Arabidopsis thaliana: one gene and its partners. The protein of the gene in region 3 interacts with the protein of the main gene of each other region in a pairwise test. Each region holds a gene or a part of one and is shown on either strand. Other genes may lie near its edges. The genes, in order: WIP1, WIP2 and PSS1.

Region 1 (4,569 bases), on a different chromosome or scaffold from region 3:
TCAGAACTTTTTCATCTTTGGTTTTAATTTAAAATCAAATTGTATCATTAGTGTTCTTATATAATATTTGTATTATTGGATCAGTGTATCAAGTTTGTGTATAGATAAGTATATATAAGTGGTGTGACACTAACTCTTGTTTTTTGTTTGGTTGGAAACAGAATGTGAAGTGAACTTTGAGTATATGGACTACAAGGTCTTGACAAAGAGGTGCAAAGGTCCAGCGTTTCCAGCCAAAGAATGTTGCTCTGCTTTTAAAGAATTTGCATGTCCTTACGTGAGTCAGATCAACGACATGAATAGTGATTGTGCACAGACAATGTTCAGCTACATGAATATTTATGGAAACTACCCTACTGGCCTTTTCGCTAACGAGTGCAGAGAAAGGAAAGATGGGCTTGTTTGCCCTTTACCACCTCTCTATTCACATAACCTAAACGCCTCAACTGCTGATTCGACTCCTCGTTTTATCTCGCTGTTGATCTCTGCTGCAACCGCTGTTTTTGCTTTGTTAGTGTTGACTTGATCAATCAAAGGAAATTGAAAGAGCCAAAGAGTGATTACATTTTGATACCATATTAGCTAACAAACTAGATAGAATTATCAAATTGTTCTGTTACTGACCAAGTGTCCAAGTGTAAAGAATACTTGACCTCCAAAATAAACAAAAGAAGAAGCGAGACTTACTTGATTAATTTTATTACCAGAGGCAAAACTTATAGCCGAATTGTTAACAAGAAAAGCCAAAAGCCAAAACAAAACTCAGTTTACATCAAAAATCAAAAGTCATGTGGGTACAACAGTATCTGGCTCCGGCAACAATTGAGACAGGAGCAACAAAACTACTGTTGACAGCAATACTAACTGTATAAGAACGTATGAAGTGATCTTACATGCTCTCTTCTTGATGGTCCCGGTGATTTCTATGCAATCGTTTTGCAGGTCTTGAGCTCTGTTTGTAAAATTTGCAGCCTTCGTTTGTACTCTTCCTAGCTTATTCAGCGTCTCATGGGTTTGCTCTTCTGCCAATGACTCTTGTTCATCAATTAACTTCATCTGACTGTTTAAGTTATCGATAGATCTTGAATATATCAGATATTCAATCTCGGCCTCAATCTTCTGCCGGAAGATGTCTTCAACCACAATCTCTGTTCCTCCCCACGAGTGTTTGCTTTGGTTCGTGGTGGATTCAAGGTCACGGATGTGTGATTCTTTCACCTCAAGCATGGACCTTGTTTCTTCTAGCATGTTCTCCAGTTGTTCAACATTGTTTACCAGGGTTACAATCTCGGGGTGAGGTGAATTTGCTTCGCTGACTTGTTCATGATGCTGTGGCATTGGTTCATTCCCGATCTCCTGGAATTGCTGAACCTCTGCAAATGAAATTTCATAAAGAGTCACATTAAACATCATAATCATTGTTCATGTGATGTTATTAGTTGATTCCAACATGATAATGCAGGCTCATAACAAGAAATAGTTATGTAACAGCAGTAAAAATAATGCAAGTTTAGATACAATCCGCAGCAAAAAAATAATCAGAATGGCTACCTTTTTCAAGAGCATCTTGCAAGGCCAAGAAACCGTTGATGGCCTCTGTTAATGGATCCATTTCATCTGAGTAACGATTGTCCGTGTTTATCGACTCTCCGCCTTCTCCTCCCGCATCATCTTTTCTCATTGACGTTTCCCCATTTTCACCATTGTAGTCCATCATTCTTCCACTCTGCTTTCTTGAGTCAGATTCCAAGCTGGAATAAGAGTTTTCCTTCTCGAAATCGACACTTTCTCCTCTATGTTTCTTACTATTCTCTACACGAATGTTTCCTCCCTGACCTGAACTAATCATTGGCTTCTCATACCTAATAACCTTGGGAGCTCTTGCAACCGTGGAAGACTTACTACTCCGATCATCATCTATCTCTAAATCCATACCAGCTGAAAAACCAACCCCTGCCACAAACCTAGAATCGTAACCACTACTCCCAAGTATATCAAAACCATCACCGCTACTTTTCAACATATTAACAGACCCAACAGATCCCTGACTCTCTTGTTCAACTTCCGGTGACTGAAACTGCATCTGTTTACCATGTGAATGAGCAACACCTGACAACCCTCTCTTCAGAGCTTTACTATTCTCCATATTCGCAGACGTGTCCTTAACAAGATCTCTCCTAATCCTCCTCCATTTTCTCAAGCCTTGTCCTTTCAAAACCGGAGAATAAGCACCACCACCATCACCTGGTGAATCAAAACTCATAGGTTTACCGAGTTCAACAGAATTAGAAGTCGAAAGCAGTTTCACACTCTCATCAGAGCAAGACCCGTTATCCAAACTCCTACCATCATCACAAACGTTGCTGGCACTTTGTTGAATCAAAACATTATCATCAACAGACTCAAGTGCAGAGCTTTCACTCTCCAAATCCATTGACTCCACAAAAAAATCTATCCCCCACCAAATTCACATCGGTTTCAGAAGTAACAGGAGCTCAGATCAATAACCCAAAACCCGAAATGAGGATCCCAAATTCGATCATACACAATCAAAAAGTCAACTCAACAAGCTATACAAATTCATTGGTTCCTTGACGGTTAAATAGAAATATAAAGGTCTAAAATTTCCTACCATGCCACCATCTATCGGATCAAAGAAGAGAAGAAATGATTCCAAAAATGAAAATCCAGCTCAATGGAAGAACACAGATTTCGAATTGAATCGCAAAGTTTTGGTCTTTTTGGAGAAAGGAAGGGTATACAGCAGAGAGATGGAAAAAGGAGGGTGAAAAGTGAAAACCCTAATCCAATGATCGGATTCGCAGATCTATAATTCTCTCGTTCAATGTGGAAAGTTTCTTTGTGGGAAAAAGTTTATTCTTTTTTCCCTCATGATCAATTTTGTTCCTTTTTGAAAATTACGTGTGGGTGGTTGGAATATAACACGTGTCGGAATCGCCTGACCTCTCAGCATCACCTTCTTCATTTTTGACCGTGAGATTGGACACGACATATATATACCGTTAATAATTATCATTTTGGTTATTACAATTTCAGAAAATTGTTGAACTGACCTAAAACATGGGGACAGTGTGAGAATAAACAGAGAATTACAAAGGGTACATACAACCATAAAACACCACAAGTCACATTCTTACATCATCTGAGAGGATTGAGATTAGCACAAACGAAATTGGGCTACTACACACTCATTACACAGACTGAAGAAACATAACAAAAAAAAAGAGAATCAGAAAGGCTTCTCGTAGCCTCGAGCTGGAGGTTGGTCCCAAGCTTGCAAGAATGCTGCACAATTGCAAAGACATAATGAATCTCAGCTCTTTAAGAAGCTAAAATAGAAAAGAGAAAGAATTTGATATTGGTCTTACTCAATGGTATTTCTCCGAGTGACATGAAGATCGAATCATCGTCTGTATTATTTGGTACTTGGTCATTTCCAATAGCTCCCTGAGACGTTTTCAGGATCTGTTAGCAACAACAAACATTCTATGTGACATAAAACTTGACAAGTAGAGTAGGTACCTCTCGGTCTTGAAGGCTAACTGTGTTGTTATTCTGTGGGACACTACTGGTTCCCTGGTTTATTGGAGTAAAGGAATCAAGATACTCTACCATCATGAGTCTTTCATTGTAGTCTGGGACGTCATCGATGCCCATATATGGAGCAGCTTCTTGCCTGTTAGATATGAAAACCCATTAGCCAAAATGTAATAGGTGTGTGTATATATAAGTGTTAAGAGTAGGACTTGGCCGTACTTTCTTCCTGGATCATTGCTGGACTTTACCACTTCTTGATCATCATCCAAATTAATCACTTCTATCTCTTTACCATTGCTCATCCGAGTACTCGTACCAAACTCGAGAGACTTACTAGAACTGCTGATTGAGAGATCAAAATCAACAGCTTGACGAGATTCCTTTATCCCATCATTCACATCCGACGCTCCCCCTAGATTTAGGTCACACATCTTAAACGAAGCAGGAAACAGCTGATGTTCTTCAGCATACCCTGGACCTGTTCTGCCAGTGTGTGTCCTATTGTATGTAGAGTTATTAACCAGACTTTCATGGCTGACCCTTTTTCCAGCAGCACCGTCAATCAGTCTTTTGTTGAACGAGCTTGTCTTTCCTTCTTCTTCCGGATCGCATTGGTTTCCGCTTGTTTTAAACATGTTGAAGCGTTCATTAGCTTCAGAAACTGCCACCCAATCTCTCTGTCTTTTTGATCCCTCCTCCAAGTCACTGCCTTCACCAGGCCTTTTCTCACCTACTTTCCCCACCGAATGTGATCTGTGCAGATTAGGCAATTCTAATCCTGATTCTTTCTCACTGTTATCCCTGAGAATGCTACTGGGAAAAGAATTAGACCTATGACATTTACTGTTCTCAATATATTGAACAAGAGCAAAATCTTCAACTTGGTCATTTTCATCACCAGTACTATCGGCCTTTCCAGATGATTGGCCTCGAGTCTCACATCGATTTTCGGTTTGATCTTCTTCTTCAAGTCCAGAATTATGAGAGGTATCCTTGATATTATGACTCAAA
Region 2 (4,962 bases), on a different chromosome or scaffold from region 3:
TACTCCTTTTACTTCTTTCACCAAACACAAATTAAACTCAAATGAAAGCTCTCACCTCTCAGCTTCAAAAGGTTATGTCTTTATCTCTCTAACTTGGTAATGAATCTCATAATGGTGTTTCTCTGACAGATGATATTGAAGTGAGTGGGACTGAGAGGAGATGAGTCAGAACATGAATGCAACAGTTGATGCAGTTCAATGAGATTGAGGTAAAATCTGAGAAACTGCATGTGATGTATCTAACTCTTCCATTTTGTGGGGTCCCTCTTCTACAACACTGTTGAAACCCAATTTGTGTTTTCTTCTTTTCTTTATTTAATTTCTCCTCCTCCTCTTACTTCAGATTTGACCAACAACACCAAGCCAGTTTCAGAGAGTCTCTGCAACAATGGAGAGGTCACGGGTCAGAAGAAAAATCATTGCTTTACATTGAGTTTGTGGTCTAATGTTCATCATCATTAACAAGATTGAATCTTTTTACTCTCTAGCTAGGACCAACAATGAAAAAGCAACATATTAGTCAAATCTTTAAAGATGATTTCTTAAAGACTTACCCTTTTGTTTGATCTTTTTCAGACACAAGGCAAAAAAAGACGTGTCACTTCCCCTGCATATCTTTTCATTACCAAGCCTGTCTCTCTCGTCTATCTTTCTCTCTGTGTTTCTTTTTGAGGAAGAGCAGAAGATTGTGATAATGAAGAGGGAGAAGAATCTGGAGTTGTGAGTTGGATCTGAAAGTGCTTATGGACATTAATTTGTTTTTAAAATAGTGATTAAAGAAATGGTTAAGAGAGAAGCAGCCTGGAGATGGTTAATGTCTAAACATGTACCAATGTCATTTTATAATGATCACCCACTTAATCAAAAACCATTTTATAATTAACTTAAATTTATAATCTTGGATTCTCCTTTATGTCATTTGTTTTTAGCTCTCCTCTCTCTCTTCTCTCAACCTCCTCTGCATTTTCTGGAAATTTTTAATGAGTTTTTTTTTCTTCTTTAGTTTACCAAGAAGACTCCAGTTTTTATTTAAGATCGAGTTATTAGAGAAGTATAAATATAACATGGGTTACATTGGATTTAAGAGAGTTAAATAGACAAGAGTCAGATTTAAGACATTGAACTTTGAGCTTAAAAGAGGTTGTAGGATTGAAGAAAGGGAACCATTTTCAATTTTCTTAGTACTTTGGTTGTTTGTCATTTACTGTTTGTATTTTGTGGTCTATAGAAAACTCCAAACATTGTACTATATTGAGTATTGAATCATATAATACTATCATTGCTGCAATTAATAGGAGAAAAATGTCAAGAGAATATTTTACGTAAAACATATTTTGGGTTCTAAGTAAGTGAAATTCCTTCCACTATGTGATTATGAACTAAATTTCTAACAATAGTACTAACATAACATAAGTAGTAACCTAGTAGTATTTGACAATTTTTCTTATCAATAACATTTTAGTATATTGTAATTTGTAAGATAAACTCCTCATAATCGAGTAATTATCTTTTTTTTTTAATTCAAGGTGGTGCATGTATGTATGTGTACACTGACACAACATTTGAAATCTGATTTCACAGTGGGAATTGGTCCAAGACCAGTCCACTTGTGACTTTTTATTTATTTACCCCACACATTTTCACATTTATCTACAATCATAAGGGACTTTAAAAACATACACATTACACACACACACACACAAAAACAAAAAATTTACCATCAAAATCTTGGAGTGTGTGACGTATGAACAAAACAAGATTGATACTGTATGTAGAAAAGTCTCGTTATCAAACGATGTGGAAGCGTTTATCAAACGCTCAAGGATAAGTCTCGTTGTTTCCATACCTAAAAACGGCAACCACTGTATATAGAAAAGATGTAAACGTCAAAACTGAAGAAGTTAGAAAGACGAGGGTAAATTAGTAAAATAGTCGAGATCATATTAAAGTCCTAACGGTATATCACACACCGTTGAATTCCAGATCCGACCAGATAAGATCACGTCGAATCGAACGGTCATAAAATATCCGAGTAGTTGCTGAAGTATCCAGCGGTTTCGCCACGTGTCCCGACCATGTCGCTCACACGTTCGTATTTCTCTATTACAAAAAAAAGGAAACGAATCAAAATGTTTTTTGATCGTAACCGGGAAAAAAAAAACGATTTTTCGCAACGAAACTTTCCACAATCAACGGATATAGAGAGAGATCTCTGCGAATCGTTTAAATCGTCTTCTAATTTCGTTTCGGTCTCTTCGTAAAGGATTCACCTTTGAGTGGTTTTGCGTTCCATTTTATTAGGTACGTCAAGCTCGAAACTTTCGATTCATTGGCTTTCGTAAATGTGATTAATCTGGGAATTGAGTTGAATTTAGAGAACCCTATTGCTTCATTTTTGTTTTCGTATTTTGGTTTTATTGAATTTGCCTCTGGTTCTTACTGGAATGGTGGTTGTTTAGTCTTGAGATTGATCCCATGTGAAAAGTTAGTATTTTTGTGGCGTCGTCATGGATTTGGAGAGTGAAAGCTCTGTTCTTGAATCTGTTGAAGATAATAATGGTTTGATTGGTGATCTTGATAAAGAGTTGAATTCACCGGTTGAGACTTCTCCTCTTATATCAAAAGGATTTGGTTTAAGAAAATGGAAGAGGAGGTTAAGGAGAGATCTTGTTAAGGATGATACTTCTGTGAGTATGGAGAATAGTAAAGCTCTGAAGAGGGTGTTGTCAGGATTAGTTGATCCGAATGCTAAACAAATGCATTTGCCAGGACCTGAAGTTAGACAAGATAGTGTTGGTTCTGTTGGCTCGGTGAATAGTGTGGTTGGTTTTGTAATGGGTGGGGAGAGTTATGGCAATGGTCTTGCTTTTGCAGCTGGTGTTGATTCGGATAACAGTGAGGATCGGAGTAGTACAATGAGTCATTCTTGGGACAAACATAGAGGAAAGGTCTCGGGTGGGAAGAGTGTGATTAGTTCGGGGGATAGTAGTCAACAAAGGAAGAGTAGTGTAGAGAAGAGTAATAAACTTAGAGGAGAAAGGATCAAAATTGAGAAGGAAAACTCTCATTCCAGCATGGAATCTGCTGACTCAAGAAGCTCCAACTTTGTGTTTATGCAGGGTGCTTCCTATAGTTTGAGTAGCAGAGAACAAGGCGGAAGAAGAATGATGGATTATGACGATGAAAATAGTGATCATGACGCACATACTTCGAAGAGAAAGGATAACGTGGAAGAAGAAGAAGAAGAAACAGAAGACTATTCACAAGGAGACTGTGTTGAAGAGTCTCAAATCAAGAGCAATGGTTCATCAGACAATCTGGATCCATTAATAGTAGCCGTCAACAGTTTCCAGACTTTGCAAGAAGCCCTCCAAAAAGGTATCAATTTCATAAATACAGATTTTCATTTGGAATTTGATTGTTGCTGCATTGTAGTAGTCCTAATCAACTAAAACTTGAATGACTCTAACACTGGTTCCTTATGATGCCGTGTAATATTAACATGATTGTGTTTCGAGTTTGACTAAACTCCTGTTCTTTTTCCCTTTTCAGAACTTCAAAAATTCCAAGAGCTTGGGAAAGAAGAACCTATAACATCACTGCATGATGGAGGAGAAAGCAGCAGTTGCATACACGCAGGACACGAAGGAGCTAGTGAAGCAAGCTCTTCTTACCGGTTTGGGTCTGAAAAGATGGGAGAAATGGAATTAACTTCTCTAGATTCCGAGATACTAAACCTGGTGAACAATGTAGAGCATCTGGAGATCAAACTAGAAGAAGCAAAGCGTATTCTCGAGGTTAAAGAAACACAAATCCGTGAACTCGAATCTACCATAAACGTTTCAGAGACGTGTAACGGAGGAACAGAGATCGGGATAGAAGACATCTTCCAGCAAAAGGTGGAGGCAGAGATTGAATATATCATATTCTCAAGATCAGTGGGAAACCTAAAGAGACGGATCAAACTGATTGAAGAAGAGAAGACATTGGGGCTATCAAAGCTTGATAAAGCAGAAACAAAAGCTGAGAATCTAAAGAATCAAGCTCAAGATTTACAAAACCATTGTGTAGAGATCACAGAGATTCAAGAAGTGGAGTGCCTGAAGAAGAGAGCATTTAAGACCACTAGATGTCTTCTTCTACAGTTAGGCTTGCTCTTTATACTGTATTATTCTCTGTTACCAGAACCGGAGATTGCTGTTCCCACATGATAGTTTTGTTTGATGGAATCTGTTTTTATCTATATTTATACAAGTTTTGTATTTATATATATTGTAACATTTTGGCTCCAATAGACCCAACTCTTCTTTGCTTTCTACTTTGTGTTTCTGCGTGCTGCATTGTCATGACGTCAGTGTGTATGTATAAAATTGTTGCCTCTTTGTCAACTTTGCCATCATTTTCCATAATTTCTTTAGTAAATAAGAAATAATGAAATACAGAAGATAAGATATATAAACACACAAGTGAAAAAAGTTTAGATATTCACATGTACAATGAAAATTTGCACATAACCTTTAAATAATTTGAGTCGGTCTTAATATATATTCATTGTAAGCTCTTTAGAGTTTATAAATAAGAAGAATTCAATATAGTTGTGTGAATATATTGTGTGGTGTGTTGTTTGTGATGACACATAGAAGTGGTCTTATGTCATTAGCTGCAAGTGGAGACTTTTGACAATTTGACTATAAACAGCCATCTTAATGTTGGTTTGTTCCAACAACACTTAACAATGCCCACGTCTTGAAGAGTTTTAGATTTGCAAACCAATAATCAATTTGATCAAATATACTTAAAAAAAAGAAGAAGTTATTATTCATCTTAGACTCACTCATAGGTGTCTTAATGTGATGATCTTTGGATTTATATCCAAATCATTTTACAAATTTGGACCTACCATAGTTTGGTCTCTTTTCTTAGTGTAATGAAGAGAGATTTGATTCTTTCTTTCAAATTTGG
Region 3 (5,394 bases):
CAGAATATTCCTTAACTTCTGACATCATCCTTTTTTTGGCTTCTTTAAGAAAGTTGGAATAAAATAGGAAGTGATGATGGAAGAGTGATGTTAAGATTAGATAGATAGTCAAAATTGTCGTCGAAGATGTCAAATTACGAATTTGCAAACCTAAGATACCATGTGACATGTTGTTGGGCGGCACGGCAGGTCACACAATCTTAATATTATCCTCAATTTATCATATTTGATTCTTTCTTCTTCTTTTTTTCATTTCCTTCAACAAAACAAATAATCTGTTTGATAGAATGATGATAATACAAAATAATAGACCAGAATAACAAAACTGGAACCAATAATTAAAGACAGAAAAATTGAATGGTGGTAATGGAGTTAATGGCAGTAAAAGCACAATAATGTTGTTAATGTCATGTAAGAGTTGGCAGCACAAAACAATCATCTCAAAAACCAGAAGAAACAATGGCTCAATAACTTCTTCTTCTTTTTTTGAACTGTTGAAAACTTGAATGTGTGAATGGTAACAAAAAATTGACATTCAAACCAACATGTTTTGTCAGATTGAGGGGGCAGAACAAAGATGAAAGAACTTTTGATGCATGAAAGAATTGATGGAATCTTCGTAAATGTTGAATATCACACACTATCCCTAAAGAAAATTGCATTTACATCGTTCCTTCTTCTCCCTATTTACAAAAAAAAACCACAATGGCATTTCACTGTCTCACCTCTATTTCTCTCTCGTCTCTGCTGCAACAATAATGATGCGCTTAACGTCTCTTTTGCGCGAGGATCTTCTGGATCTTCCATGTCCAAGACAGCAAGAAGGCCACAAGTCCAAGTCCCACACTTCCCCATAGTGTCACTACCCACAATGGCATTTCTGTTGGGTACAATCCTGTTCGTATCATAACCATACAACCAAGTTTACACTCTCCACACTATGTAACTGTAACCATAAATAACTAAGGCAGAGCATGTGTAAGGAACCACCTACCACTTCCAAACTTGATGCAGATGAGAAGTTCTACTATGCATATCCCCAGTGACAGCCAACAGAATGCTCCCACCTTTTTCACAGGTTTTCTGTGAACAACCAAAACTACACAAGTTATATACAAAACTCTTTCCAAACTAACTCCAACCAATATCGCAGTGGCTATAGCTTTACCTGTCTTGAAGATATGAATTGTACTCCCGTGTTGTTGGTATCGCTATGAGCCACCACAAGATCAGCCTATAGAGAATCACTGGGTTTCGAGGGGGGATCCACAGGCTAAACTTGAGAAAGAATGTGTTCAGCTCCACTGTCAAGAATATGATGCAAAGAGTGAGTACTTGAATAAAACGCCAAGGTCCCTGCAGCGGATGCCACTCGTCTTTGTCCCAGTGAGCTGGTGTGAACTGCCCCAGTGTCCTTTTCACCTGAAAAAATATACAAAATTCTCATTGGATGTACAACGGCTAGGACCATGTGTATGCACTCTCAAGGTTGAACAAACCTACTTTGCCAATAATGTTAGGCTGGCGGCTAATGCCAACCCACTCATATGTTTTTCCATCAAAATATCGAACTGTATACATTCCTGCCCAGATACCTACCATGATTAAAACAAGAAAAGCTGTTATCCATAACATGTTTAAAAGCACTACATATAGAATAGCAAGGTAGCTTAAGAATCATACCAAACCAGTTGCATATCAAGATATCAAGAACAATACTGTCCCACCAGCACTCGTTGAAATTTGGTAACATATGCCGAAAAGTAACCTGGAGAACATAAATATAACTTTTCGGTGACACAGGCGAAGCGATATTTTTGTATATATCAAATTGGAACCTGTAATATAAGAAAACGAAGACAAAGACCAACCTCCAATAACTCAAAACCAATTGAAAGCACCCAAAGAAGCGGCTGGTTCCGGATCAGAATTGCTTTCCCCCACCAACCAAAGATGTGAGCCAAGAAAAACTCATCAAATACTGTGTCCTGATAAATTTTAATCAAAGCATAAGCCTTTAGGTGATATGAAGGTTGGTTAAGGTAAAGGGGAGTTGTTGAGAAGATACCCTACATAAAGATTCTTAAACCTGTTTGTTGGGTGATCAGGCACATATATACGGCAATCAGCACCGTATGATTTCTCAGGAAGTTCTGCAACATGAGCAAACTCAATAAGATGGTCAATCATTGATGTGGTAGCTCCTCGAATAAACAGCATTCCTCTCCGAAACTCTTACCTATTCCAAGGTCAGGGTGGAGAAACTTCATGAACTGCCGTGCATCATCACGTCTCTGGGAGCATGAATAATGTAACTATTAGAGTTTGCTCACTTAAAACAAGAATCCATATATAAATCACAGGCATAGGCAAGTAAGAAGGATCTAGGGAGGAAAAAAAAGTGAACCTGAAAGAGCAAAAAAGTAAGTGCAACTAAGTAAATGACGGCCATTCCATGAACTAAGCGCCAGATTGCAGGATGGGGCCTGATTAGAACCCTGCATAAAGCAAATTACTTGATTAAAGACACATCACAAGTATCACCAACAACCACAATCTACATTATAAAAGAGAAAGCAAATTAATAAAACAGCTGAGATGGTAAACAAACGTTGAAGGGGCCTGGAGCAAAGAGTAAGCAAGAAAGACAGCGATCATAGCCCACACTCCCCTAGAAAAGGAACATAAACATAGTAGACTAGTGTTAATTGATGGAATCAAATGAAAAAAGAAAAAAAAACATGATGTGGGCAGAAGGAAAAAGAGAACCTTTTGACAGAAGTGACAAGATCATCAGATGTAGTGCTGTCAGGATCAAGAGCTCCACTAGCCCAACTAAGTAAAATTCAAAACCAAATTGAGGATTACGAGAAATGGGCAGAGAGGTAAAAGGGAAGAAGCAGGAAGAAATGATGACTCACATGAGAAAACAAGCGCCAATAAGGAGAAGAGAGATAGTGCGAGGCTTGTAAGCCCATGCAGTCCATGGATCAAGATCAGTCTCAACATCACCACCACCACCATTCATTCTCCCCAAATGTTGTTCCTTTCTTCTTTCTTTCCTGTACCCATTGGGTTCCATGGCCAAAACCAGCTTCTGAAGTATTGCTGATTAAAAACAAAAAGAGAAACTTTAGCTGGGAGATGAGATAAAGAGGGGCCTGAGGAGCATCCTCGAGAGAAATTAATGAATAAAAACTGTAAGAGAAGAGAGACGAGAAAAGGCAGACAATGGAGTGTATACAGAGAGAAAAGGTACAAGGTACAAGCAGAGAGAGACAGAGAAAGGTTCTGTCTTTGCAGAGGTAAAAAAGCAGACGCAATATCAGAAGAAGATTAAACTTAAAAATAAGCCAAAGTAAATGAAAATGGTTAGCAATAAAAAGAAAAGAGAGGAGATTTGAGATACCTGAAGAAGAACCCTAGAGATTGATTGGAATGGGAGAGAATCAGAGGAAGAAGAAGAAGAAGTAGGAATCCAAGTAGTAGAAAGCTCGATGATGTTGATGAATAAAAAGAAGAGGAACGGTCAAAGTAGAGAGAGAGAGAGAGAGAGAGAGAGAGAGAGAGAGAGAGGGATAGATACGGCTTCTGCTGCTGCTTCTATTCACGATCTGAAAACGACTCTGCTTTCTTTCCCCCACGATTCCCTTTTTTTCCAGAACTACCCTTTGCTTCTTCTCCTTTTTATAGGCTATCAAATGGTGACATCAAAATATGCAATATTATGTGGTTTGGTCTCACTATCATCATCTATCCATATTATGTCAAAATTTAGGCCCTGATTTTTAATTTAGTTTTTGAGTTTAGATTTTAGTTTCTGAATTTTAGATTTTAGTTTTAGATTTTTGTTATTATATTTTTTGTTCAAAAAATCTCCAAAAAATGGTTTTTGGTTTTTGAGAAAAATAACGTTGATTGAACAAAAACTAGATTTCCTAAATTTTACAAAAACTAAAAAACTAAAATCATGAATGGAAAATTACAATAAAATAGTTTTACTAAATTGTAGGGAAACCAAAATTTTAAAATCTTGATTGGTATGAAAATAAGTTTTTAAAAAACAAAAACCAAAAACTCTTACAAAATCTACAAAACAGGCCTTAAGAATTTTTATTTTATTTTATGATGCGGTTTGGTATAAATGTGGTTTTGGTACATACAGTAATTGAAATTTGATGTGGATTCGTTTGTTAATTACTTGCCAACTTTATTTGAACCGCGTATTAACCATTCAAATTAGACCTGTTCAAATGTAATTTACATATATATAAAAAAATTCCAAAATTGAAAATGTTTGGGGAAAAAGAAATGTATGCAGGATGACTAATACAAATTTTAATTTGTAAAAGGAAATGTTTTGGTCACTCATAGTGTTAGAAAACATTTAGTCAAAATTTGATGGTTCCATACGCTAACCAGTGTTACCTTTCGTATTTATCATAAATCTAGTGTTTTCAGATAAAGGATTAAGTATATATGTAATGTTATTGCCTAATTTAACATAAACAGAAATACTATTCACATATTCTATTTGACAAAATTAATTCATGTTTCACCAGATTCGTCTTTAAATAATTTCTCTGATTAAAGCGGTTGTAATATGCGTTACGAACAAAAAAACGGTAGTAATATATACTCCATTTAAAAAGGCTAACATTTATGGGGTTGGAATGATACTCAATAACTCATATGATTGTTGTTTAATTGCAGCCAAATAAAGCACATCAAATGCCAAATTTATTAATATTCTCATTTAAGTAATTGATTTGACAGATATTCCCAAAAGTACAAAGGAGAAGCAGAGAATAACATCCCTAATTAGGAGTATCAAACAATTAATTTTATTTTATTCTTTTCATTGAATGAAAAAAGTGTCATATAATATGAAATTAAAGAGAGGCCTAACAAGTGAAGTGATGATATAGACTCTTCTATGTGCTTGAAATCGTCACAATAAATCTACTAGCATGCTTATTATAAATGTACAGTTGTAGTTGTAGAGAATGGACCCTAACTATAATAAGCATACGGTCAGGTCAGCTAGCTCTTGATTAAAATTCACATAACTGCGAATACAATTAAAAAGCACTAACGAAATAGTATTATAAAGTTTGAAACTGGAATACAAACAAAGATAAACAGCTCATTCCTACAAGAAGACCATGCAGATGGAGACACCACTTGTCACTTGTCACAACATTACTTACCCCTCCTCCTTAACCTTTTCATTAGTAATAATAACTAAATAATAAGCAATGGGATTCTGAAACCAACAGTGAAAAGTGGATAGTTTTCTTGGATTAAAAGTGAGAGTAAAACACAGGTAAATTAAACAGAAGAATAAGCGTGTGTGATAAATAGAGAGATACTACTAATAATGATTAGGGTCAA

Evidence for each region.
Region 1: the proteins of PSS1 (region 3) and WIP1 interact in a two-hybrid assay, tested with the Arabidopsis thaliana proteins (one study listed by BioGRID).
Region 2: the proteins of PSS1 (region 3) and WIP2 interact in a two-hybrid assay, tested with the Arabidopsis thaliana proteins (one study listed by BioGRID).

What each region holds. Positions count from the first base shown.
Region 1 is NC_003075.7:13,363,602-13,368,170, reverse strand, and holds WIP1 (WPP domain interacting protein 1), read right to left. Parts: upstream 2,889-4,569; 5' UTR 2,435-2,888; coding exon 1,552-2,434; intron 1,374-1,551; coding exon 787-1,373; 3' UTR 640-786; downstream 1-639. Other genes in the region: LRE (lorelei), read left to right, coding at 162-526; AT4G26450 (uncharacterized protein), read right to left, coding at 3,251-3,306, 3,390-3,468, 3,544-3,697, 3,778-4,569. UniProt on the Arabidopsis thaliana protein: Mediates and enhances the nuclear envelope docking of RANGAP proteins mediated by WIT1 and WIT2 in the undifferentiated cells of root tips.
Region 2 is NC_003076.8:22,749,909-22,754,870, reverse strand, and holds WIP2 (WPP domain interacting protein 2), read left to right. Parts: upstream 1-2,053; 5' UTR 2,054-2,507; coding exon 2,508-3,378; intron 3,379-3,552; coding exon 3,553-4,211; 3' UTR 4,212-4,409; downstream 4,410-4,962.
Region 3 is NC_003070.9:5,197,282-5,202,675, reverse strand, and holds PSS1 (phosphatidyl serine synthase family protein), read right to left. Parts: upstream 3,659-5,394; 5' UTR 3,410-3,658; intron 3,404-3,409; exon of another isoform or gene 3,109-3,403; 5' UTR 3,083-3,108; coding exon 2,922-3,082; intron 2,836-2,921; coding exon 2,770-2,835; intron 2,672-2,769; coding exon 2,612-2,671; intron 2,499-2,611; coding exon 2,408-2,498; intron 2,295-2,407; coding exon 2,240-2,294; intron 2,154-2,239; coding exon 2,074-2,153; intron 1,989-2,073; coding exon 1,872-1,988; intron 1,769-1,871; coding exon 1,684-1,768; intron 1,596-1,683; coding exon 1,504-1,595; intron 1,423-1,503; coding exon 1,169-1,422; intron 1,084-1,168; coding exon 991-1,083; intron 896-990; coding exon 688-895; 3' UTR 501-687; downstream 1-500. Other genes in the region: AT1G15120 (Ubiquinol-cytochrome C reductase hinge protein), read right to left, coding at 1-28. UniProt on the Arabidopsis thaliana protein: Catalyzes a base-exchange reaction in which the polar head group of phosphatidylethanolamine (PE) or phosphatidylcholine (PC) is replaced by L-serine. Is essential for phosphatidylserine (PS) biosynthesis and PE seems to be the most plausible substrate.